Linked DNA regions of Saccharomyces cerevisiae S288C. The protein of the gene in region 1 interacts with the protein of each later gene in a biochemical or structural test. Each region holds a gene or a part of one and is shown in the gene's direction. Other genes may lie near its edges.

Region 1 (3,566 bases):
AGTCGTCTGTCGTAAACGTAAAAATCATTTAGAGTAAAAGACCTATTAATAAGCAGCTCTTTAAACATCGACGGTTTTAGTTTGTTACCATAAGGTAGTAGAATCAGCAGCTGATCGGGAGGAATCTTCCATTTCCTAGCAATGAACTGTTTAAATTTGTCCAGGGAAACGAAAAAATCAACATTCGTAGTTATACATTCTCCAGATATTGCATTTATGATAGTGGCTGTTGTCTGCAGTGGTGTTATTTCTTGCTGGGTAGGTGCAGTGCTATATTCATCAGCGTCTGCCATGATGTATAAAAGAAAATAAAAGAAGTACTTTCCGAACAACAACAGTACACTAAAATAATCGTTGTTCAAAGGAGGACTACTTTGGTTCTGATTTGAGAAAATGGTACTCAAATAAGGGCATCGCTATTATATAGTTCCATTCCTACCAAGAAACCGGGTAGCCAAAAGCGATAAAAAGGCTCTCCATGGCAAGCCTTATTAAAAATAATAATCATGAAGAACAAAGTTTCACAAGAGATTACAAGATAAAAAAGCCACTACTACAGAAAAGGCGTTGGGTCAGGACATGGAAATAGTGTACAAGCCATTGGACATACGTAACGAAGAGCAGTTTGCTAGTATTAAAAAACTAATAGATGCGGATCTATCAGAGCCGTACTCGATATACGTATATAGGTATTTCTTGAACCAATGGCCCGAGTTAACGTACATTGCCGTTGACAACAAGAGTGGAACGCCTAACATACCCATTGGTTGCATAGTGTGTAAGATGGACCCGCATAGAAACGTGAGACTGAGAGGATATATAGGAATGCTAGCCGTAGAGTCCACATACCGCGGGCATGGCATAGCAAAGAAACTAGTGGAAATTGCCATAGATAAAATGCAAAGGGAACATTGCGATGAGATCATGTTAGAAACAGAGGTGGAAAATTCGGCGGCTCTAAACTTATATGAAGGAATGGGTTTCATCAGAATGAAACGGATGTTCCGCTACTACTTGAATGAAGGGGACGCCTTTAAACTGATATTGCCGTTGACTGAAAAGAGCTGCACTCGGTCTACGTTCCTAATGCATGGCCGGCTGGCCACATAAAAGGAAAAACACTCGATGATGATAAAATATATATTAATAATACAATTTTTTTATTTATTTATTTAATCATATGTATAGATATAGAAAAAGGGCAGTAGAGAAAAGAGGAATAGAAAGGAGAGAGATAATAAAGCAAGTTTCAAAAAGAACAAGAGGAAAAGAAATTAAATCACACAGACAAAAACGCGGGGAGGAAGTATCCCTAAGCCAAAGTGGCGTTATATAACTCCTTTTCGGATTCATATCTCTTCTTATCGGCCTGGGCCTTGGCCTCGTAAGGCTGCTTTTCCTCTGGCGTTAGAGCCTTCCACTTCTCACCCAACTTCTTGCCGACTTGTCCAAATGTGATATCTGGATTTTCAGAACGAACAATATCTCTGTTTTCGTTAGCGAAAAACATGTAGGCGGACAAAGCCCTCTTAGGGGCATTTGGGTCCTTCTTCTTTCTAGTGGTTCTCTTCTTAGGTTCTCTTGGGGTGACCATTGCGACTGTGCTTTACTATGTATAGGGTAGTCAATTGAGCAAAAACAGGAAAAAAACACGTCCCAAAACAGTCCTTCTTTAACAGTCGGTACCAGTAATAAATACTGTGTTGTTTGTTTGCCCACCGCTAAATAAACGAACGGCGAAAAAAATAGGCGGCAAAAGGCGGGTGATTCGAAAAGTATCGCGCGCGACGAGGCGTGAGGGTAGAATTCGGCGCCACTAATTTGTGACACTTGAACAGTATTTAACGTCGTGCGATACATCATATCGATAGAAATGTAGACGTGCTCAACGCTCCAAGAATGAATTGCACACTTACAGATAATACCAGAGCCATAAATGTGGCCTCCAACCTCGGTGCTCCTCAACAGAGGACGATTTTTGCCAAGGAGAGAATATCCATCCCAGGATACTACGAGATAATCCAATTCCTGGGCAAGGGAGCCTATGGGACAGTGTGCTCAGTGAAGTTTAAGGGTCGAAGCCCAGCTGCTAGGATAGCGGTAAAGAAGATCAGCAACATCTTTAATAAGGAGATCCTTTTGAAAAGGGCCATCCGTGAGCTAAAATTCATGAACTTCTTCAAGGGCCATAAAAATATTGTAAATCTAATCGATCTAGAGATAGTGACCAGCTCGCCCTATGACGGACTGTATTGCTACCAGGAACTGATTGATTATGATTTGGCAAAAGTCATACATTCGTCCGTGCAGCTCTCGGAGTTTCATATCAAATACTTTCTTTACCAAATCCTGTGTGGGCTAAAGTACATACACAGTGCAGATGTCATCCACCGAGATTTGAAGCCTGGGAACATATTGTGCACATTGAATGGCTGTTTGAAGATCTGCGATTTTGGTCTCGCTAGGGGTATTCATGCCGGATTTTTCAAGTGTCATTCCACTGTGCAGCCCCATATAACCAACTACGTTGCTACAAGATGGTATAGGGCGCCTGAGCTGCTTCTTTCCAACCAACCGTATAGTAAGTCCGTAGACATATGGGCTGTAGGGTGCATTCTTGCAGAATTCTATGCTCGAAAGCCTGTTTTCATGGGGCGTGACTCCATGCACCAGATATTTGAAATCATCAAAGTCTTGGGTACTCCTGATAAAGATATTCTGATCAAGTTTGGCACCATTAAAGCTTGGAATCTAGGCAAAAACAGTAATAACCCTGTATATAAAAAAATCCCATGGTCCAACATTTTCCCCTTTGCCTCGCATGAAGCAATCAATCTCATAGAGTCATTACTTCATTGGGACTCAACACATAGGTTAAACGTGGAACAAGCTATATCACATCCGTTCCTAAACGAGGTGCGGAAGCCAGACGACGAGCCTGTTTGCCTTCAGGGTCCTTTCGACTTCACCTATGAATCCGAGTTGAATTCAATGTCCAAATTAAGAGACTACTTGGTTGAAGAAGTGAAAAATTTCAAAACCGATTTGTCCTCCTCGTCTTTATAGTAACCACTACACAAATAGGTATATCATGAAGTTATATTCTGACCGTAACAATTCTTCTTTCTTTGACGTAAACTTTATGGCGGGTAACGCTCAAATAGTTTCTTGTTAACCATTTCAAATAACAATAAGTATACAACTAAACAAAGTCTGCTACTTGTTAAATATAGGAGTATAAACAAGATAAGCTTGCTACTTTTTCAGCACAACCGCCACCTCTCGATTGCATACAATGGATTACCTAAAACCAGCGCAGAAGGGGAGAAGACGTGGTCTTTCCATAAACAGTCTTTCGGAGACTCAGCAATCTGCTATGAATAGTTCCCTGGACCATCTTCAGAATGACTTAAACAGGATAAATCTTCAATGGAATAGAATACTGTCGGATAACACTAATCCCTTAGAACTAGCGCTCGCATTTTTGGATGATACATCTGTAGGTCTGGGCCACCGGTATGAAGAATTCAATCAATTAAAGTCACAAATTGGTAGTCACTTACAAG
Region 2 (11,454 bases), on another chromosome or scaffold:
TCATTGATAATGAAAAATCCAAAAAAAATTACCTGTACAAAAAGACCCGCAGTTATGAGTCCTGAACCAGTCTTCGTTGATCCTGCCTTAGACATTAGTCCGCCACCTGCAGCTTGTAAAAAGAAACTAAACACATCTCCCACAACAAAGAAAGTCGTACCAAAGCGTGCAGAAATCAAAATTAAAGATTGGCACCTCATAACATGTAATAACCTTCCAAAAATCATATAAATCGTCGCAGCTATTAGTGCTGGAGCGACTAATAAAAGAACAGATTGGATAATATATGGGGTCGTTCTTTCAGGATTGGAACTGGATAGAGCCCTCCCGATATACCCGACAGCTTCCATGATGCAGCCAGTGAAGAAAGGTATAAACGCAAAAACTGTGGGTGTGATTTTTAGTTGCTTGTATTCAGCATCCTCAAGACTATCGACCTTATCATCAGATGACTCAAATGGATTATTTTTCAATGCCTTAGAAGATTTTCTCGCAGCATATAAAGTTTGAACGGCAAAAATGACTGTCATTATAATGAAGAGTACGACAAATACGATTGCAGCCGCTTTACTTGGCGTATAGTGGTAAAGTACGAACCCCGAATCAGTTGTGGACATTTTGGAACGTTGATGGACAATAAAAGATTAAGTAGCTATGTAATTGGACACTATTAACCTACTATCCTGGACATTTTGAGGCAAGAGACTATACATCCCACAATTGATTCGGTAGGTGCTTTTATACTGATTCATTTGAGGTCTTGGCATTTGTTCAATTGAAGTACATTTAGTTGAAAAGTTGAGATTTATTTAGGATGAGCTTGCCGCGGCATGGGGAAAGAAACACTTCATCCTGTATGGAGAAAAACCACTTTGCCGCGGCACATCAAAACAGGGCTGAAACCTTCAGTATGCGCGATACCATTACACGACAATCGCATGGCTTAGTCATAATAGATCGAGGCGCTCATATACATGGCAGCCACAATATTTGAAGGTCGACAAATAAGGACAATATCAACGGTTAGGATACCGAAACTTGAATATGGCTGGTTTCTCAGGAACAGCCGATACTGTCCTGATCTTAACTTAAGGTGCGGTGAAGTAACCTGGATTCAACGCTGCATGAAAGACCTGATTAGGCTTATTTGATAATCCAACAAAAAAAGTGATTGGTTGGTTTGCTAGTATTCAAAAATAACTATTTTGGAGTACTTTGTTTGTTTGAAAGGCTGGGTAATAATTTTTTTGATGTGTGCTTTGAACAGTAAAAACTTTCTTCCTTTCTATAAGCTAGAAGCAAATCCAAATCTCATCGAATAAGCGCATTAGGTTAACGACATTATTGTTGTTTAAATTTTAAGCTTTTTAGCTTTTTATATTTTATTGAGATGGCAGCAAAAAGAGGATTAGCCAAACAAAAATCTAGGGTAACCAAGGCCTGTGATAGATGCCATAGGAAAAAGATTAAGTGCAACAGTAAGAAGCCATGTTTTGGGTGTATTGGGTCTCAATCAAAATGTACGTATAGAAATCAATTTCGTGAACCGATTGAGGCTTTTTTCAATTATACTGGTAGTCTCAGTAATGATTTGGATAATGCTAAGTGCAGCATAGCAAAATTGAAGGCACAGTTACCTCCAAGCGCACCGGCCTCTTTACAGAAAGGCCTAGCAAACATTTGCACTGAGCTTGAAAAAATACAACCTCAGCTTTACCTCAATCTGGACAGTAAGGAAATTAGCTCGTATGGTGGCCTGAAATCGATAGAAACAGAAATTATCGGGAAACAGTCAAAATCTTTGAATAGGTTCTCCAACGCTTTTGAAAGCAATACTGCACAAAATGTCAGTATGTACTTTGGGGTCTATTCACCGTTGCTATATTTTGCCTCTACGGGTATTAGCTGGATAACTAAAAAATTGATTTCATGTTCGAATGATAGGGAGACGAGAGAAACTATCTATTTATTTTTGAAGTTTCTTGACGCTAGCTCTGCTAGCCATGCTGGTCCTAAAGTAACTTCGATATCTCCTTTAGAGTATTATTCAAAGCTAAACGGACTTTCATGTGGGAACGACGTACTTATTCAACACATTATGTCAAATATATCGAATGAAATCAAAGGAAATACAAACATTAACCAAACAATCAAATTCAATAAACCAACAGACTGGTTTATGTACGGAGTACAATTGATGGAACAGCACCACAAGGCGTTGGATCGTAAAAGTTCCAAAAAATTACTTCCTTTGAAATATTTTCTTGAGCAAGATGAGTTGATTTTTTGTCTCTGTCTTGAATATTTTGAAAGATCCCTATTTTCGACAATGTACGACTTGACTATTTTAAAGGGCTTAGTCTCGTTGATGAAACACAGATATTGGATAGACGATCCTTTTGTGCTGGGAAGAATTATTTCCACGATGTCCAGGCGAAGTTTGGATGCTGGTTTGAATCGTTGGGAATATTATATTGGTCAGGATGAGGACACTGCCGAAGAATATCGTAAGTTATGGTGGGACTGCTACTGGTGGGATAGATGGTATTCATTGGTCACCGGTAAGCAGCCATTGATACCACATGAAATGACTTCGTGTCTCTTTCCCAAGGATGTGGTTGGATTAGGGGTAGATGATTCGATGGACTGTTTTACTTTAATAAACTTGGTGGAGCTCGACCCAAGTAAGTTTGATATTTGTATCTCTTTCGGCTATATTCTATTAACGAAAATTATTACAGCGGTATTCTCTGGTTTGCTTTATAATCGACACTTTACAGACTACAGATTATTTGCAACTCCTAACGCTAAAGACCTAAATGGAACCGCACGACAGCTTATGGTAGAGTTTTCAAAAATATGTAAAATTTTTCAGTGCATACAAGACAAACTAATCCCTTTCCTCAAACAATATTCTGAAAATAGTAATGTATTTGAACTATACACCCATTTCGGATTTGCAAAGGTTTGTTGTTTTCAGGGAATGGAGAGTTTAATTTTAAGGATACAAAATCTTCTACAAGAAAGAGAGAGAATTGAACTTGATTCCTGCGTAAAGGACATCAGGCTTCAAACCTTTGAAGCATCTGTAGATATTTTGACGGATGTTCTCAAGCACGAAGATACGTTCTATATTTTCCGTTGTTCGTGGTTCATATATGCCATCTTGATGAATATTACCTTGAATTTTATCGAGACCCCTAGAAGGAACTCGATATGTTATTTATCCTTGATGTGCCGCATGATAGCCTCATATAATGACTTATTTGTGAGCTCTGGCAATGTTAATTTCAAGGGCAACAACGCCTTCTCTAAAAAGTTGGAAAATGGAACAGCGGTTTCTTTCATCCTAACACGCATCTGCTGTCAGATGTACACACGTTCACAGAAAATGGCTAAGGAATCGCTGTTTTGTGAATTGAAAAAATATGGCCAGGCTTGCTCAGATGCTGGTCAAGCTGCGTTGGACATTGAATGTATCTGGTACAGGAATATTATAGGCGAACACAAAGAATCAAGCTTCCGTAAAGAAATTCTCAGCATTCTTGATAGGGAAATGGGTGATTTGGTGAATAATAGAGTTATTGGCGTACAGGGAAAAAATCAAGAAGGTGCTTGTTATGAGAAGTTGTCACCCAGCAGCACCAGTGTTTCAGTTGGCATGGACTTTTGTAGCCTCGAAAATTTTGTGACTGCAGAATCTCTACCAGACCTTCTCAATCTATTTTGGGAGGACACTGAATTTGGTATTACTAAAGAAAACCTCGGAGAGTAAAAACCAAGTATGCACCTAAACAATTGATCACTTTCAATTAGGAAATAAAATCCCTTGATTTAGACGAATACTGTAGAATGCAATAAAAGGTTTTGTGATTCTAATCTAGTCCCTTACGTTATGCACCGCTTTCAGGAAGGTTATGGGCTGTACCATGAAATCAAAGGTGGCTCATAACTAGTAAGTAAAAGTAAATGTCCTTTTTTTATGCAAGATCTAGAACGATTCGAGTATGGTGTTGATACCACTGTGGTAAGTCTTTCAAGCTACACGCAATTACACACACTCACAAATCTAGTTGTATTTACTCCTTTTATTGTTGCTAGTCTAATTATTCGTCCCACGATTTTATCGTTCTTTGAGTATTTCGGGTCTCAAAAGATTGCTAAATGAAATAACTCTTAAAAATTGCTTCACATAGTCTTGTTGTTACATTCACAATTCACAGCTTTCCGTTGCTCATCGCTTGATAGGAATATATTATGATAGGGATTATCCTGAAAGTTTCAGCAAAACGATAATTACTTCAGCTTTTCTTCGTCTATTTAACCTAGTTTTCCGTCATAAATCCGTTCTCTTAAAAGCACACCTACTCCACTTTCTGAAATAACATAGATATTGAATTTGACTTAGATTCATATATTAGAAAAATCGAATAGTTTCCTGTGCCTAGAAATTCTAAGGTGCCATTCCAGAGGATTTTTATGACAAAGATGAGATGTAAGAATCAACTTTTTTTAATATTTTATATCTTTCATCAAAGAAACATCACAATGTATATTACAAAGTGGAGAAGCATCCAAAATATAGCTGCAGTGAGAATTCATTGAACTGTATCAACTGGGTGGAAAATGTCACAGTCACTTATGGAATTCTATGATTTTATTCAATAGAAAACATTTAGTAAAGCTGGTAACCGACCTTTTTTTTTTACACATTTTTTTTTTTTTTGCTGATTATACCTTGCATTCTAACACCGGGTTCTGATGTTATCACCTACTTTGTATCTCGCATCATTCTTTATTTGGTAGACACGTCCCAAAATGGAGGATGCGCACTAACGAAAATGAAGGATAATGCAGTGAGAATGATAATTTTGATATTGATAGGATCAATTGAAAGCATATCACATGTTTTTTGTGAAATGTTGTATAAGAGATAGCGCTCTTGTTGGGTTTCGATAGGGGGAATGTGGAGTATCTGATGTAACACTGTAGTCTTATTTCTTGTCATAAAGAGGGACTGATTGGGGTGAGGCATATTATATTATAGGAAAAATTGCAGAATATCTAGGTAGTAGTCGCTTCAATAAATTTTTTTCCGACACAAGAATAATGAGACAAATCGGACTATATTTGACGATTAAATAAACCCAAAGCACCCCTATGCTATATGGGGGAACTTTAGAGTAAACAAGGTTGAAATACGTCAATTTGTAATTTCATAAAATACGTGAGGTCTTTTTGTGAGAGATACTTGCCCATTTAGATTTTTGTCCATATCGTGATAATTTTTTTGAGTTTTAATTAATGTGCTCCACCATCACAGAGTGTGTACCAGTGCAACCCACTCAGGGATATGCTTTAAGTCATATATTCTCGCTCTATGGGAACCATAAGCTGGACACATTTCTTGAGGTTATTTAGTAGCGAAAAATGGCGCAATGTTACTCTTTCACTTCTATTATATGGGGCTACAATGCCAATAAGGATTAATGGGTAGCGATTGTGGTTTCTTACCTTTGTGTAGTTGCGTAGGCTTTTTAGTGTATCAGTGAGCAAATTTAGTCCAAAAAGATCGCCAGCGAAGACTGTCGTATCTGGATCATTCGTAGTATCGATAGCTTAGCGATATTCTCGAGGATGTAAAGACAGCAGATTGGAGTTCTGATAATTTTTCATTACTTTTCAGTGAGAGAGTGCCTTTCTCGTTTTATATCTCAATCCTACCCGTAGAACTGGTCTGCTATTCTCATTTATCATTTTATTTCAAAAAAACCTTCAGGAGACAAACTGATTCCATCAAAGGCCTGTTTGCTATCTAGGACAATATTCGAGCTTAGTAAGTCACTTCCTGAAAACCATTCTGCTTGCGAGCCCGAAGCTTTGTGGCAATCAGTCTTCCACATCTGTTTGCAAGGGTGTTTTATTTCATGTCGTGAGAGATTTGTGATTAAAGCTGTTTTTATTAATCAGTTAGCAGCTTCATTCTCTTGAAGGATATATATAATTTTCTCAGATTTCTTCCGAATAATATTTAATCATTGAAATGGCAAAAATAAAAATTACTGTCAGCTACGCTATCTTTATATAGCTACAAAAAATTAATGGCCACTAAGCAATTACTGAGACGTCAAATCAAAAGGGTAATAAATGCTCTTGACTACGATATTATCGCTGCAGAGTCGCATACTATTTCTCAAGCAGTACGCTCATTGATCGCTTCCGCCAATTCTAGGCGTGTAGCGTGTTATATGAGCATGGATAAAGGAGAAGTAACGACTGGAGAAATCATTAAGAATTTATTTCAAGATGGCCAGGAGGTCTTTCTGCCAAGATGTACTCATACTTCTGAATCGAAACACTTCAAATTACGGGAAGATCATCATCCACATTTAATATTCCATCGAATGAGTAGTTTGAAAATGGTTCGTGATTTGAAGCCTCAAGGTCCATATCAACTAAAAGAGCCTGAACCGCATATTGAGGAATCAGATATTCTAGATGTCGTATTGGTGCCTGGAGTGGCGTTTGATATTAAAACTGGTGCAAGGATGGGTCACGGTGCTGGGTATTATGACGATTTTTTCCAACGGTATAAGATACTGCATGAAGGCCAAAAGCCCCTCCTAGTTGGACTATGTCTTATGGAACAGGTGGCCTCTCCAATTCCTTTAGAAAAACATGATTATTCCATGGATTGTATAGTATGCGGAGATGGATCCATACATTGGTTTCAATAATTTCATATATGTATTATTTACATGGTACAGCTATTGTATAAATAAATAAATAAATAAATAAGTAGACGGCAAATCTATTTTTCTTCTTTTGGATTCCCTTGTTCGCTAGAAAACGTGGCATTAGCTTTGACCAATGTCCTGTTGCCACTTTGGTCCATAAGTTCAGCCTTTAATTTAGTTTTGTTACCGTATTGCTGAAGATCGGTGGTTCTTACTACAACAAATTGATTAGCTAACGTGGGGAACTTGTACGAGATACTCAAATTCTTGGTTTCTTGGTTTATATTTTTTGTTCCTTTTTCGAGTCTAATGGCCTCCTTCATTAAATCTTCAATAACTGTTGCTAAAATGCCTCCGTGAATTAAGAAAGGATAACCAGTAAGTTTCATTCCTAAATGGTATAGCCCGACAGTTTCACGCCTACTGGGGTTGTAGTAAACTCTTGGTGGTATAGCGACGCCACCTGGTGTATTTAATGCCCTTGACACTAACAAGTTCTCCTCTTCATTAGCAATCACTTGTACAAAACCAGCATTCTCCAACTGTTTTACTATGGGTAGGCCATTTAAACGTCTATTCAGATCAGCGTGATATTTGACGACTTCATCTGCGTTCTTGGGTAGGGCATCATATCTCCAATAAGCTAGTAAGTCCGTGAACGTCATATGCTGTGTCAAGTACCACCCTCCAAGAAAACTTCCCCCAAAAATTGTCCATGGAATCCATCTTCTTTTGGGTTTAGAGGCTGTCTTGAAAACAACGCCATTTGTATACGTTCTTATCTGGGCTATTGCGATTCTTTTAAACATCTTGGCCTTGCTGGTACGGTCTCTTTCTCTTCCTTACTTTTCTTAGTTTCTTTATAAACTCTTTGTGCACTTTGTGAGTTTGTTCCTTTTCTGCCAAGGGGTATGCCTCATCGAAAATTAATCAATCTTTAAATAAGGTATTATGTTAAATAAATGAAATGTAAAATGTGTCGCTAATGGAGTACTTAGAGACATTTTTGGAAATCAGTTTTGTGAAATATTAGAAAGAATTCCTTTTGTTTATTTGCTCAGAGTACAACATCTCAAGACTTTTATTCCTGTTGCAAACCAATGTTCACGTACGGTGACCCAAAATGATGGCAGTCATAATCAAATCTAATGGAAGTTGAAATCAAGAAACGATAATGTAATAGGATTGTAAATTACAACTTACAAAGCAAAAGAAGTAATAATAATATGCTATTTAGAATTGCCGATTCTCTTTTATTGATTCCTGTATCTTTTGAGGAGAACTTCTAGTATATGTCTAATGTCGTTTTACTAGAAATGGGACCCCTGAAAATCGTCAGCAACTTTCAACTGAATCTGAGAATGATGCTCAAGTCGTCATTTTATCTTGCAGAAGCTAAGTGCAGGAGTTGATAATACAGCAGAATTAAAAGTGACAACGCAAGAAACAAAAACAAATGCAATCTCAATATTATGTGAAATTGATGATTTCGTAGCGAATCATGCGCACTGTGGGAGAAGCCTGGGTATAATTATGTATGCTAATACTGTTACGTTTATCTGAGGTTTGTGTGAATTTTGTGATAATTATCGGGATTCCATTGTTGATAGAGGCTTCAATACTATGTATACAGAACATACTAGAACTTCTCCTCAAGGGTATAGGGATCCTCAAATTTAATCGGTATTTGCATACAATAATATTACGATTATTTTTCCTATCGTTTTATATGCTTCATTTTCCCATTACATTATCAATTCTTGCATTTCAGCTTCCATTAAACTTGCTAACTCTTTCTCAAGCTTCATTTCATCTTCCTAGATCTCATATGATACTATACCAGCAGCAAGAATGCTACTAAATGGATGATATTCTAGAGTTTCATTTCATCATCTACACGAAGGGATGGGGGCATCTGAAGTATTTGAAACGTTGCTATGATTTCATAATTTATGCAGGTTTAACACAGATTACAGGTCTCTTGGCCCAGTTGGTTAAGGCACCGTGCTAATAACGCGGGGATCAGCGGTTCGATCCCGCTAGAGACCAATTTTTTTGAAAATCGTAAAAAGGCCCAAAAGGGAGAGCACAGCACGTTCTGCTTAAAAAAATAAAAAATGATGTCTTCAATAAAACATCTTAAGGACCAGTTTGTAGATCTGCGAAGTTGTTGACTAGATAAATTATAATAGCAAACAAACAAATAGGACAATGTCAGCGGAGAACATTAGTACTGGCTCGCCGACGGGCAAGCAGCCATCCTCTGAAGTTAATCTTGGCGAAAGAGAAGCTGGAACAAAAAATGAGAGGATGATGCGCCAAACCAAACTTCTGAAGGATACATTAGACTTGTTGTGGAATAAAACCTTAGAGCAGCAAGAGGTGTGTGAGCAACTAAAGCAAGAAAATGATTATCTAGAAGATTACATTGGCAATTTGATGAGATCCAGTAATGTGTTGGAAAAATAACTTTTCAACGTAGGTTTCTGTTTTAAATAGGTAGATCAGTCAAACGGATGCGTCGCATAAATGGCTGATAAATTTTTCCACTACTCGTTTTCTCTTTTTCTGAGTTTCTATATTTTGCGCCTGTTTTACAAAGAAACCAGTATGGTTTGATCCCATGGGCGATGCCACAAAGAAGCTATAGAGAAAAAATGTTAAAATATTCGAAAAAGCTTCGAAAGATTTTATTGCGGTCACTCATGATCATAAAAAAAACCCTTCTCGCATTTGTAACATTGTATTTTAGTTTCTACTTCTTGTAGCAGGCCCTGAAGTATAGATTCTCAGACACAGTGACAAAATGGATGTCGATGAGAGGTTGCATCAAGATGAAAATCAAACCCACCCTTTTTCGCAAAAGAAGTCAAGCAGTTTCTTGATAAAGGAAAAAGCTGCTACAAAATCCAAGGATCTTGAACATATAAGGCTTCGTGACCTAAATTTCAATCATAGAAAAAAGCTAGATGACAAAAAATTGGCAAAGCAAATCCCAGTTAAGGCAAATTTCAAGAAGCCTAACGAAATTGAAGCTCGCGCTAACCTAAATTCAAATGAATTAACAGATATCAACCTTGACTATATACCGGATTCCCCATCTATAGAGAAAATATCAGGGCCTGAGGATTCTATTGTTGTAACGCCAAGAAATATCATACATTTACAATCTGATTCAGATATTATTCTCGAGGAATGCGAGCATAATTATGACTGTAGCCCTTTTTACCGTCTGTTCAACTACGAAAATAGAATTGAGCCCGATGACTACGAGGCTATTATAAACGCTATAATAACTGACGAAATTGCTGGCACATATCCGGTTTTCGAACGGGAATTAGAGTACCAAGAACTGAAAAGTCTTGTCAGAAAGCGAGATTATATTATGTATTATTTCTTGTCAAGGGATTATCGGGGGTTTTTTCAGTTGAAAGAGGAACGTACTTTATTTTATAGGTACCCTTCAATTGCGTACACTAGCCCGTTGAGGTATCTGGATAATGGATCTGAAACCGAGCAGTTTACCGGGGATGATGATGAGGAGCTCCAATCATTTGATTTTGAAAACACATCATCTGTGAGGACTTTAGATAGTAATATATGGCGTTAGGTAATGCTCAATTTTATATACGCATATGCACCATAGTAATTTAATATTTTTTTTCCGAATTACAACAATTATATTATAATATTCCTTTCTTTTGGAGCTGCTAAAACAAAGAATCATAACAAGATATTAATAATATTAGTAACACAAAGTAAAAGAAAAGTTTAATAAAGGAGCAATGTCATCTTCATTAAAAAAGTATACAAAAACTAGTCACTTGAATCGGTAATACCTTTTTCACCAATTACGTAGACACATTCTTTTTCAGGCATATCTGGGGAATCTTGTAACTTGGCAACTCTTTCGTCACCACGCCCTTTTCTCAACAAAATCCTTGTTGCTGACGCATGTGCCAGAACGTGCCCTCCAATTGGTTTCCTACCATCTGCCGAGGCAAATAATGCAGAAGCACCTGGGTCTGATTGAACTTGGTTTGTCAGAAATACTGCAACATTAAATTCCTCTGCCAATCTATTCAATTTGAAAAGATGTTGATTTAGCTTTTGCTGTCTTTCGCTTAGTTCACCTCTACCGCAGTAGTCTACTCTGAAGTTTGCCATTATAGAATCTACCACGATAAGGCGATAATCTCCAGAACTAAGTTCTTCACCCAATTGTTCAACAAGTTCCATTTGATGTTCACTATTCAAGGCTCTAGCATATGAAACGTTTGCCAAACATGACTCGGGATCCAATTCATAACCTTCTGCAATTTGCTTAATCCTCTCGGGCCTGAAAGTGCCTTCTGTATCAATATATGCTACTTTCCCTTCACCACCACCCATTTCCCTCGGAAGCTGCGTGGTAACACACAAAGTATGAGACATCTGTGTCTTACCACACCTAAATTCACCAAATACTTCAGTGATACTCATTGTCATTATTCCACCACCTAGGATTGAATCTAGTTGCTTAGATCCAGTTGATAAGGAGTACACACGCTGTCTTATATCTAATTGTACAGTAGCGGGGATAAATCCCACCTGTATGATTTTTCCAGCAGCTTCTTTAATTTTTTCCACTTTCACCTCACTTAACCCTTTAATTTTACATAGATGTCTTCTTGTTGTTGACAAAACGGTCTATAAAAGTTCCTTTCCAAATTATTAG
Region 3 (12,090 bases), on another chromosome or scaffold:
CAACTCGCGAATGCATCCTCTTCTTCAACATCACAGCCAATTACGTCTCATGTTTATGTCAAACTACCATCTTCCAAAATTCCTGACATTGTATTGGAAGACGTGGATGCTCTATTGAACAGCAAAGAAAAAAATGCAAGAAAGTTCGTTCAGGAAAAGATGGAGAAACGGAAAATTGAAGACGCAGATGTCTTTTTCAACTTAACGGACGATCCCTTTAATCCTGTATTTGACATGTCGTTGCCTAAAAATTTTTCGACTAGTAATGTTCCCTTTGCATCTATCGCGTCATCCAAGTTTCAGATAGATAGATCTTTTTATTCTTCACATTTACCAGAATACTTGAAGGGGATATCTGATGACATCAGAATATATGATTCAAATGGCCGTTCGAGAAACAAAGATAATTACAACTTGGATACCAAAAGAATCAAAAAAACTGAACTGTACGACCCATTCCAAGAAAATTTGGAAATTCATTCGAGAGAGTATCCAATAAAATTCAGGAAGAGAGTTGGTAGATCTAATATTAAGTATGTTGATCGTATGCCAAATTTTACAACATCGTCGACCAAGTCTGCATGTTCTTTAATGGATTTTGTAGATTTCGATTCAATCGAAAAAGAACAATATTCAAGAGAAGGTAGTAACGATACTGACTCGATTAATGTTTACGATTCCAAATACGACGAATTTGTCAGACTTTACGACAAGTGGAAGTATGATTCTCCACAAAATGAATATGGGATCAAGTTTTCAGATGAACCGGCAAGACTTAACCAGATTTCAAATGATACTCAGGTGATTAGATTCGGAACAATGTTGGGTACGAAGTCCTACGAACAATTAAGGGAAGCCACCATAAAGTATCGTAGGGACTATATCACCAGACTGAAACAAAAGCATATACAACATTTACAACAGCAACAACAACAGCAGCAGCAGCAACAGCAGCAAGCACAACAACAAAAGCAGAAATCACAGAACAATAATTCAAATTCTTCGAACTCCCTAAAAAAATTAAATGATTCGTTAATCAATTCAGAAGCGAAACAGAACTCTTCTATAACCCAGAAAAATTCATCATGAGCAGCACAACTTTGTACCTCTCGAACATCTTTCTACGCATTGGCATTTAACAAACCTGACATTCAAAGTTTACTACGAAAGTCGAGGCAACATTACTGAAGATTCAAATCACCGAAATGAACACCGATAACGCAATAATAATGAAAAAAAACAAAAAACAAAAAAAGATAACTACAATAAATTTCAAAAGAAAAATAGCAAGTATCATCCGGCTGTAATATTATCACCTTCACAAGACTACATATTTTTAACGTTTTTTTTAATTTCCATTTCACACGGTTGTGACCTTTTGATTTTTCGCATGATTTCATCCCAAATGCTTGATGTATTTAAGTTAGATTCATACTCTTATATAGACAATTGCATAACTCACTAGGTACCCTCAAATAAATGCATTTCTTCTTATTATCCATTTTTTTTTCCTGTATGGCGCGAATTTTGAAAAAGGTCTAAATATACCAACCAAGTCATAACAAGAAAAAGTAAAAATGAGTCTCAACACATTCCTTGCAGTTCCATCTGATAGTAAATTCACACTCGAAATACTCCCTCTACTTTAAAGCATTGGCCTATATCTTAGGCTTACCATCATACAAAAATCTTCATTTCGTTATGGGTATCAGGAGATTAGTTAGTGTTATAACGCGGCCCATAATTAATAAAGTTAACTCATCTGGTCAATACTCGAGAGTACTCGCTACGCGTGAAGACCAGGATAAAGCTTCCCCCAAATATATGAACAATGATAAGATAGCAAAAAAACCTTACACATATCGCCTTTTCTCTATTCTTGGCATTTTAAGCATTTGCTCGCTTTTATTGATATCGCTACTGAAACCTTTTAATGGTGCAGATGCTCCTCAGTGTGAATCTATCTATATGTTTCCATCTTACGCAAGGATCGATGGATTTGACGAGAGGTATACACCACTGGCACACAAGTATCATCTTTACTTGTATCGAGAACAAAGCGTAGACCGAGAACCTTTAAATGGTGATGAGTTACAACTTGATGGTATCCCTGTACTTTTTATACCCGGAAATGCAGGTTCTTTTAGGCAATGCAGATCGATTGCTTCCGCTTGCTCCAATATATATTTTGATTCCAATACCAGGGCGACTCTGCGTAACGAAAATGTGCGAAATTTGGACTTCTTTACGGCAGATTTCAATGAAGATTTCACTGCGTTTCATGGTGAAACAATGCTTGATCAAGCTGAATACCTAAATGATGCCATTAAGTACATCTTGTCTCTTTACGAAAGGACCCCTGATTACCCACATCCAAAACCGCAGTCAGTTATTATCGTGGGACATTCCATGGGCGGTATTGTATCCAGGGTCATGCTAACTTTGAAGAACCACGTACCGGGAAGTATAAGCACCATATTGACCTTATCATCACCTCATGCTGCTTCACCAGTAACCTTTGATGGTGACATTTTAAAGCTTTACAAAAATACAAACGAATATTGGAGAAAGCAGTTATCCCAAAACGATTCTTTTTTCTCTAAGAACATTTCATTGGTTTCCATTACAGGCGGTATATTGGATACTACTTTACCTGCAGATTATGCATCTGTAGAAGATTTGGTTAGCTTAGAAAATGGGTTCACCAGCTTCACAACTACTATTCCAGATGTTTGGACTCCAATTGATCATTTAGCCATTGTTTGGTGCAAGCAATTAAGAGAGGTACTAGCGCGCCTTTTATTGGAAAGTATAGATGCCTCCAAACCTGAAAAAGTTAAGCCATTGAATCAGAGATTGCAAATCGCTAGAAAACTATTGCTTTCAGGGTTTGAAGACTACTCATGGATGAATAGTAAGTTAAATTATCCTCAAGAAAACTTACAAGAATTTAGTGACAACTTCTTTTCTGATTACGCTACTTTGGAAATGAACGATGTCCTAGATTTTGAAATGTTTAACCTGGAAAAGTGGCACAACAATTATACAAAAATAAATATTCCGAGTAACATCTCCTCCACTGAACACCTGCATTTCACATTATTAACTAGTCTCGATATGCCTATGATCTATTTCTGTACAGAGTCCAGGGTGAATCTAAGCTGTATAACAGCTGTTGATAGTATTCTAACAGTGCCCAGGTCTTCAAAAGATACTCAGTTCGCAGCTGATTCTTCTTTTGGAGAAGCAAAAAATCCGTTTAAAGCCGTTAGTGTTGGCAAGAATATACTACAGAAGTACGACTACTTGATGATAAGCAAACCCACTTACGGTGAATTTTCAGAACAAGAAGGCATGGAGGACAATCAGGGGTTTCTTTTGGCATTACTGCGCAACGTCTCCAATGTACAAATAGTCAATACTACACCTTCTCAAATATTGCTCTTTGGAGAACAACTACACTTGGATGGCAAAGACATCGAGCAGGTTATAAGTTTCAGTAATTTGTGGGATTCTTTATTATCGTACAAATTAGAAACCAAGATTGAGGCAAGCAACGAAGGTATTGCTTCCGAAGAGACATTGTTTCAGCCTTTCATAAGGCAATGGGTTTACGAACCTTTCGAGTCTAAATGGCATCTAAATATTATAAACAAAAGTCTCGATATAAATATGCATAATGTAGCACCGTTTATCCCATTAAATGAAAGCGAACCGAGATCGCTACAATTAAGTTTTTTTATTCCACCCGGAATGTCCTTAGAAGCTAAAATGACTATTAATTGGTCTTTAACTTTGAAAATGCTGTTTATCAGGTACAGATTAGCACTAGCATCTTTTCCAGTCGCGTTTATAGCACTCGTACTGTCATACCAGTTCTACTGGTACAACAAGACATCTGAGTTTCCTTCCTTTGATAGCACTTTGGGATATATTTTAAGAAAGCACGGAATATTAATGTTTTTTACGCTGTTCTTAGCTTCGCCTGTGGTTAATAATAAGTTGGTACAACGAATACTTTATTTATTGGATCCTGTCGGTTTAAATTATCCATTTCTGCTATCCGAGAGAAACATGCATGCAAATTTTTATTATTTGGGGATCAGAGATTGGTTTATGTCAACTATTGGAATTCTCTTTGGGGTTATGACAGTTGGATTACTAGCACTAGTTTCTAAGATTTTTGGATCCTTGGAAATTTTAGTAATATTCCTTCAACGGAAGTTATCAAAGAAAAACACTGAAGATAAAGAGGCTTTTGATACTATTGAACATAAAGCGTATGGTAAGGGAAGATTAATGGCATCTGTGCTTTTATTACTGTTGGTATTTTTTCACATACCATACCAGATGGCGTTTGTTATCTCATTAGTAATCCAAATTGCTACCTGCATTAGAGTAGCGCTGTTGAAACTATCAAACAACGAGCAGAAATTGAACTTACTAAATTATAATATGACGTTGCTTCTGCTTTTATTATTTGTTAGTGCCATTAACATCCCTATCATTATTGTTTTCCTGCATAATGTTGCCATCAAATGGGAAACTTCATTTAGATCCCATCACAATATACTAGCAGTGGCACCAATTATTTTTTTGGTTGGAAATAATTCTATTTTCAAAATGCCAAACAGCGTACCTTTAGACACGTGGGATGGTAAAGTTACCATCATTTTATTTGTGTACTTAACCGTTTTCAGTTTCATTTATGGAATAAGAAATCTGTACTGGATACACCACTTGGTGAACATAATATGTGCCTGGTTGCTATTTTTCGAAACAATACATTAGAACTACAACCCAGTAAAAAAAGATTAACTGTATATATTGCCTGAGAGTTCTAGATCATGGCAAGAAAAAAGCTTGAACTCGTAAAAGCAAAGGTGGTTTCTACCACTACTTACGAGATGTTTATTATGTAAAGGAGTTTAAATATTATCAAATAAGAAAGATACCATTTTTTTTTATAGAGAATGTGGTGCATCTGATGAGCACCTGAATCTAGTAGTAACCTTATACCGAAGGTCACGAAATTACTTTTTCAAAGCCGTAAATTTTGATCATAAATTATTATTATCTTCAGTCCAGAACTTTCTGGCTTCCTCATCAGCTGCCGTATCGGGAGTGTACATGTCGACGGGTTCAACTTCTCCCTCTTTGTAACTTGCATCAGCAAACGGTCCTATCCTAGTATTTTTTGAACTCGTAGGTGTGGGCAACTGATAAAACTGATTTTTCTCTATATCATCTGCAGTCTCAGAAACAAAAGTTCTTTCCGAATGTTTATCCGATGTTGTTTCCTTCCTTCTAGGATATAGGTCATATAATCTACTTCTGAGACTGCTTTTAGCATCGTTGTTGATACTATCAGTTTGAAAGCTAGACAGCGTGCCTGGATAAAACCTATCTGTGGATGTTGTAAAGTCTGAAGTAATTGTGTTTGTTTTGGATGCATTATTAGCAGCCGTGGCCCACATTGATGATAATGGTAAAGACAATACAGCAAGTAATGTTGCAACAGTAGTCAAGACATCTGTTCCCTGGTTTGGTTTCAAACTGTATGCGAGGATGAATATTATCGATGGAACCAACAAAGATTGACATGACATTATGAGTAAAATATGGAAACTATCGAACTGCTTGAGACCAAGGAATCTTCTTGATCTAATAGCTAAAATCAATTTAACTACCAGGACAAATGACATAAAGTTTATTGAGGATGCAAGTAAAATTGTGGATGCATTGAAGTATTTATCTTGGGTGGCACTAACATCATTATAAGTCACAATCATACCTTTAACAGCGCTTACAAAATACATGGTAACTGTAGCAATCCCTAAAGTGAAAGATATCGACGTCAGCATCAAACCTATCCTTTTGAAGTTGTCGCCTGTGAAAATAACTTTTATCTGAAACACCAGTGAAGTCTCAATAGAAGCCACAAGAAGGACTTGAATTATATTTGTAGCACCATAAACATGAACGTCACCTCTACTGATGAACTGAGGAAATCCGGTGAGAGCGTAAGTCACTGAAGAGTAATTAGACAGTAAATATTTAAAATAGAGTGCAGAATGCAAAATGATTAAAAACAATGAAACTTGGTTGATAATGAAAATCGGCGTTTTTCTGCTTCTCGATGTCATCCACATGACAATCAAAGTCAAAGCAGCTGCACCACATCTGACACCAAACATAATGGCCTGAGTAACAGTACTGTTAACTAAACCTTGCAACTCATCGAAAGTGATGGTAGATCCATTCCCATATATGGAAGTGTAGTTAATGGTGCTTTGACCAGGATTATACGTTGGATCATAAAATAGATTGCTCAATGAAGGAGCCGCATCAGACATTTTTGATTCTTGGATATGGTTCTTAACGGTGCATTTTTAAGTAACCAATTATAATTATAGCCAGAGCAGGTGAAAAGAAAAGGTATCGTATTGCTTTGAAGTCAAATAAGATACTAATAGCACTCCTTAAATAGTATTCCACCCACAGAAAAAAATCTTGAATATGTAGGAAAGCTTTTTTCTTCATATGTGTTTCATCATGTACTTACCCAATTAGGAAATTTACATGGTTGAAAAAACTTCAATCTGCGACTTGCCAGGCACAGGTCCTAAGCAGTATGGACGTTGGCCTGCTTAAATTCTTAGCGGATACTATTGTTTCATTGCAAAGCAGGATACTTCTTCTCGTTTATACTAGCCTGTCTTAATGCACGAGACATTTACCCACAGAGCAAGACGTATATTGACGGATTGCAACACCTATTCGAGCACTACAGCGTGTGACAATGCATTTTGGCAGGCATTGGATAACATATCCGGACTATTCTACAGTTCGTTCTATGCTCTTATCTTGAATCTTTGGTGTATTAAAAAGCTTATTGAGGTTTCATAGCTAAATTTTTCCTTTTTTCTCTCTGGGAAGGGAAGATTATCTTGAATTGGCAAAGTAAAGAAATAAAGAGAAAATTTAGCAAATGACATAGAACAAGCCAATTAACAAAATACGATGCCATTAAGGTCATTATTTCATACTAATCAGAGTAGCCACGACAAAGACGCGTTGACAAGGGGAGGTTATAACGCATATCTGGAATCACTTTCTCGTTGTGACAGTGGAAAGGCAGAAGAACAAAAAGGAAAAGTTATATCAAAGTTATTAGAGAAAAAAGATGTCCGAGCTTTGAGGTACATAGGTTTAGGGCCTCTGGGGTTTGTAAACAACTCATTAAGAAAAGATTGTTGGTATGAATTATTGGCGTCCCAGTTGCTTATTGATGATGCAACAGAGTACATTACACCAGTGGAAAAACATAAAGATGAAGGTCAGGTGATATTGGATGCAGAAAGGTCTTTTGGTGGAATTGTCGACAAAAACTTGAAACTGCAATTGAGAAAACTACTGGTGGAGTTAATTACTCGGGTATTGAGAAAGTACCCAACGTTGAACTATTACCAAGGTTATCATGATATTGTGTCTGTTTTCATCATGTGTTTTAGTTGGAATGTCACAAAAGAGAACGGACTGGAACTAGAAAATCTCTCATTGCAAGAAGAAATTGATATGGAAAGGCTGTTTTATTGCATCGAAGCATTTACCCTATTATATCTGAGGGATTTCATGATGAACTCACTAGATTTTTCATTTGAGCAATTGAGAGTAATCTCTTCATTGATAAAGGAATCAAACATGAAATTCTATAATCTATTCAAATTTGACGAAAATGAGCCCCTTTTCGCTATTGGGTCAATATTGACAATCTTTGCACATAATTTGAAACCTATAGATAGCGGTGACAACAATCTTCATAAAATTCTTTTCCAGATATTTGACATGACAATATCGATGCAATCTATGCGTTTACCTTTGATCATATACAAGAACCTGCTATTGCAAAATGCGTCTGAAATTTCGAAGCAAATAGAAGCTAATTCTGATTTCTTCGAGAACGATTTTGACCTGCGCCATGGTGCTATACAAACAGTTTTACAGAAAAAACTGTATGATGAGGCGCTTTGGGAAGAAGTCTTGCAAATAACTAGAAAAGATGCGACTACTGCCAGCAAGAAGGCTTTGAAACGGGTGAGTCTTAATAAATATAGTGCATTACTCAATACAGCATGTGGAAAGCCAGGATGCTTCGATATGAGCACCATTATCTTCTATTTGAGCGAACAAACAAAGATGAACGAGCATTACAAGGAAGAAAAGTATCATGGTGTCGCCGCCAGATCCAAGACAAGGGCGTTGGTCCAAAGACTTGGCCATTTTTTACCCTCCAAATATAACAGGTGGAGCAAAATTTCTTTACTTATCGGGATTGTAGCTATCCTGTACCAATTACGGACTACAAGGTCGTTGAGTTTAGTACTCAATCTACGTTACATGATCTCCACAAAGTTGAAAGACTTATCACATATAAATATAAATTTGCACCACGTTAGTCACATCTGGGTGGATCCGATTAGGGACATTTTGAAACTGGGGCATCCAACTAGATAGCATACAATATACCTTATATACCCATGACATAGAAACAAACTCATATGTAAGGTATTATTATAAAGTGCTTCTTTAAAATTCGCTGCGGAAATTTCTTCGAGGATGACTCAAATAAGAAAAAACGAAAATTCTGAAAGAGAGATTTTTAGTATGGAGAAAACCAGTACTCCTGCATAAGATATCAAGATATTAGATAACTCTCAAGATGGTTTCCCAATTTGCTATTGAGGTGCGTAACCTAACGTACAAATTCAAAGAAAGCTCCGATCCGTCAGTTGTTGATATCAATCTTCAAATCCCATGGAATACAAGATCTTTAGTTGTGGGTGCCAATGGTGCTGGTAAATCCACCCTTTTGAAATTACTAAGCGGTAAGCATCTTTGCCTTGATGGAAAAATCCTGGTCAATGGTCTTGATCCATTCAGTCCATTATCTATGAATCAAGTGGACGATGATGAAAGTGTTGAAGATTCGACGAACTACCAAACGACCACTTATCTAGGTACGGAATGGTGCCATATGAGTATCATTAATAGGGATATCGGCGTCTTGGAACTATTAAAAAGTATTGGATTCGATCATTTTAGGGAAAGAGGTGAAAGATTGGTTAGAATCCTGGACATCGATGTACGTTGGAGAATGCACAGGTTAAGTGATGGACAAAAGAGAAGAGTTCAGTTAGCCATGGGGCTCTTGAAACCTTGGAGAGTTTTACTACTTGATGAGGTCACTGTGGATCTCGATGTTATTGCCAGAGCAAGACTTCTGGAGTTTTTAAAGTGGGAGACCGAAACCAGAAGATGCTCAGTGGTCTACGCTACACATATTTTTGACGGCTTGGCCAAATGGCCTAACCAAGTATACCATATGAAATCAGGTAAGATTGTGGATAATTTAGATTATCAGAAAGACGTAGAGTTCTCTGAAGTGGTCAATGCTAAAGTTAATGGACAAGTGGCCTTTGAAAATGACAACAATAAGGTTGTTATTAGTAAAGTGAATAGTTTGCATCCATTAGCACTAGAATGGTTGAAACGTGATAATCAAATTCCTGACAAAGAGATTGGTATATAACTGAGTATATATAACTGCAAAGACCCCCTGTATAGAAAATATGTATCTTAGTGGAAAATGTGATTTGACTATTTAAGTTATAGAAGTAGTTTGTGATCCTAAAAAAAGGAAAACGACAGAAGTCTCATAGAAGCAAAGAGGCCAGATGAAGAAGAGAGGCAACAAAATTCACGCCCATCTTAATGAAACTGGATAGTATAGACATTACACACTGTCAGTTGGTCAAATCTACTAGAACTGCTAGGATTTATAGGTCGGATACATATGCCATTAAATGTCTAGCACTAGATTTCGATATCCCGCCACATAACGCCAAATTCGAAGTATCGATATTAAACAAACTGGGCAACAAATGTAAGCACATCTTACCTCTTCTAGAGTCTAAGGCTACCGATAATAATGACCTATTGTTGTTGTTTCCCTTTGAAGAGATGAACCTTTATGAGTTCATGCAAATGCACTATAAAAGAGATAGAAGAAAAAAAAATCCCTATTACGATTTGCTAAATCCCAGTATCCCAATTGTTGCGGACCCCCCCGTTCAGAAATATACTAATCAATTGGACGTCAATCGGTATTCTTTGTCCTTTTTCCGGCAAATGGTTGAAGGGATTGCATTCTTACATGAGAACAAGATCATTCACCGCGACATCAAACCGCAAAATATCATGCTAACAAACAATACCAGCACCGTATCCCCAAAGTTGTACATAATTGATTTTGGCATCTCTTATGACATGGCAAATAACTCACAAACAAGTGCGGAACCCATGGATAGCAAGGTGACGGATATAAGCACAGGAATTTACAAGGCCCCAGAAGTGCTTTTTGGAGTAAAATGCTATGATGGTGGCGTGGACGTGTGGTCGTTGTTGATAATTATTTCTCAGTGGTTCCAGAGAGAAACAAGCCGTATGGGGCACGTTCCGGCCATGATTGATGACGGCAGCGACGACATGAACTCAGATGGAAGCGATTTCAGACTGATTTGCTCAATATTCGAAAAGTTGGGCATACCGTCCATTCAGAAATGGGAAGAGGTTGCGCAACACGGCTCGGTTGATGCATTTGTTGGTATGTTTGGTGCAGATGGCGATGGCAAGTATGTACTGGACCAGGAGAAAGATGTACAGATTAGCATTGTTGAGAGGAATATGCCTCGACTGGACGAGATTGCGGATGTCAAAGTCAAGCAGAAGTTCATTAATTGTATCCTGGGGATGGTTTCATTTTCACCAAACGAAAGATGGAGCTGTCAAAGAATCTTGCAAGAATTAGAAAAGCCATAATAAGAAGAATATATAGGTACATATATATATATATATATATATATGAAATGAAAAGTACGAGGGTAATCACTTTTTCCTCTGAAGAGCTAGTTTTATTAAGTCGAAGCAGTTCTTCATGTACGGTAAATTCTTGTTGCAAGCGGTCACACCCATATGTCCAATACGGATATACTTGGGTCCGATGTCCTTGTGAATACCTCCGGCAATGACTACACCGTGTGACTTTAAAAAAGCAATGACATCAGGAGGATCTGCTACGTATACGGCTGTCAACCCGTGCGCAGACATGTTAGAAGGATACCTACTGACGGATGTCAATTGCAAGCCATTAACCAAACTGTCTTTAAACCAATCACTCATTTCACGGTGCAAATCCCATCTCTTATGCAACCCCTCTTCGAGAATTTCTTTCAAGGCTACATCAAGGCTATTAATTAGTTGTACGGGTGGGGTTGCAAAATAAGCTCCTTTACCAGCCTCATAATTTTCCATTATTGGTGTCCATCTTCTCAACGAGGAAAAATACCCATGTACATGACCATTTTTGCTGTCGTTGAGTGCATAATCCATGAATCTGCTACTGCATAGCGAGATAGAAAGACCCGCTGGAGCGCCAATAGCCTTTTGCGAAGCAGTCAAGGCGAAATCCACCCCCCATTCATCAAATTCAAACTCTTCGCATCCAATCGAGCATACAGCATCGACTACGAAGAACGTTTCCGGCGAAGTCTGCTTAATCGCTTGCGAAATGGCTTTCAGATCGGACAGCACTGCCGTTGAAGTGTCAACGTGCGTAACCGTGACAGCCCCATAGCTATTTTGCGACAACTTTTCAGTAATCAGTTCTAAGGGAACTGATTCGCCTATCTTGAGGGGCCTAACAACATCTACTTGCGCACCGTAGCTACGCAGACAGTCAGCAAACCTGTCAGAAAATGTCCCAGTGGATACGACCAGCACGTTCTTGTTGGGGGCCTTCGAAAGAATAAAGTTCGAGGCAAATATGTCCCACCCCAACGTACCAGAGCCGGCAAGCACAAAAGGCTGAGACTTCGAGGCAGCAGCGGATTTGAAGACAGCTCTTGTGTTCTTTAGCACCCTTTGAAAAATAGAGACGAACTCAGGAGAGGTGTGGCCCAAAGAGGGAACGTCCAGGGCCTTCTGGACTGCTCCGCTTAGGATAATGGGGCCTGGGATCAGCAGCGTATC

Evidence for each region.
Region 2: of the proteins of SMK1 (region 1) and ISC10, one has a biochemical effect on the other in vitro, tested with the Saccharomyces cerevisiae proteins (3 studies listed by BioGRID, with this or other methods).
Region 3: of the proteins of SMK1 (region 1) and CAK1, one has a biochemical effect on the other in vitro, tested with the Saccharomyces cerevisiae proteins (one study listed by BioGRID).

Annotation. Positions count from the first base shown.
Region 1 is NC_001148.4:664,381-667,946, forward strand, and holds SMK1 (mitogen-activated protein kinase SMK1), read left to right. Parts: upstream 1-1,899; coding exon 1,900-3,066; downstream 3,067-3,566. Other genes in the region: autophagy protein ATG11, read right to left, coding at 1-293; peptide alpha-N-acetyltransferase MAK3, read left to right, coding at 580-1,110; NHP6A (high-mobility group nucleosome-binding protein), read right to left, coding at 1,313-1,594; YPR053C (uncharacterized protein), read right to left, coding at 1,408-1,863; exocyst subunit SEC8, read left to right, coding at 3,296-3,566. UniProt on the Saccharomyces cerevisiae protein: Required for spore wall assembly. Required for proper deposition of the two outer layers of the spore wall, the chitosan and dityrosine layers. Negatively regulates GSC2, an alternate catalytic subunit of the 1,3-beta-glucan synthase (GS).
Region 2 is NC_001137.3:548,617-560,070, reverse strand, and holds ISC10 (Isc10p), read left to right. Parts: upstream 1-9,543; coding exon 9,544-10,347; downstream 10,348-11,454. Other genes in the region: PUG1 (Pug1p), read right to left, coding at 1-617; TOG1 (Tog1p), read left to right, coding at 1,391-3,775; FAU1 (5-formyltetrahydrofolate cyclo-ligase), read left to right, coding at 6,102-6,737; FMP10 (Fmp10p), read right to left, coding at 6,812-7,546; YER181C (uncharacterized protein), read left to right, coding at 8,275-8,598; SLO1 (Slo1p), read left to right, coding at 8,949-9,206; recombinase DMC1, read right to left, coding at 10,554-11,426. UniProt on the Saccharomyces cerevisiae protein: Indispensable for spore formation.
Region 3 is NC_001138.5:76,846-88,935, reverse strand, and holds CAK1 (cyclin-dependent protein kinase-activating kinase CAK1), read left to right. Parts: upstream 1-9,774; coding exon 9,775-10,881; downstream 10,882-12,090. Other genes in the region: EPL1 (Epl1p), read left to right, coding at 1-1,089; BST1 (Bst1p), read left to right, coding at 1,702-4,791; alpha-factor pheromone receptor STE2, read right to left, coding at 5,061-6,356; GTPase-activating protein GYP8, read left to right, coding at 7,024-8,517; putative ATP-binding cassette family ATPase CAF16, read left to right, coding at 8,723-9,592; AGX1 (alanine--glyoxylate transaminase), read right to left, coding at 10,948-12,090.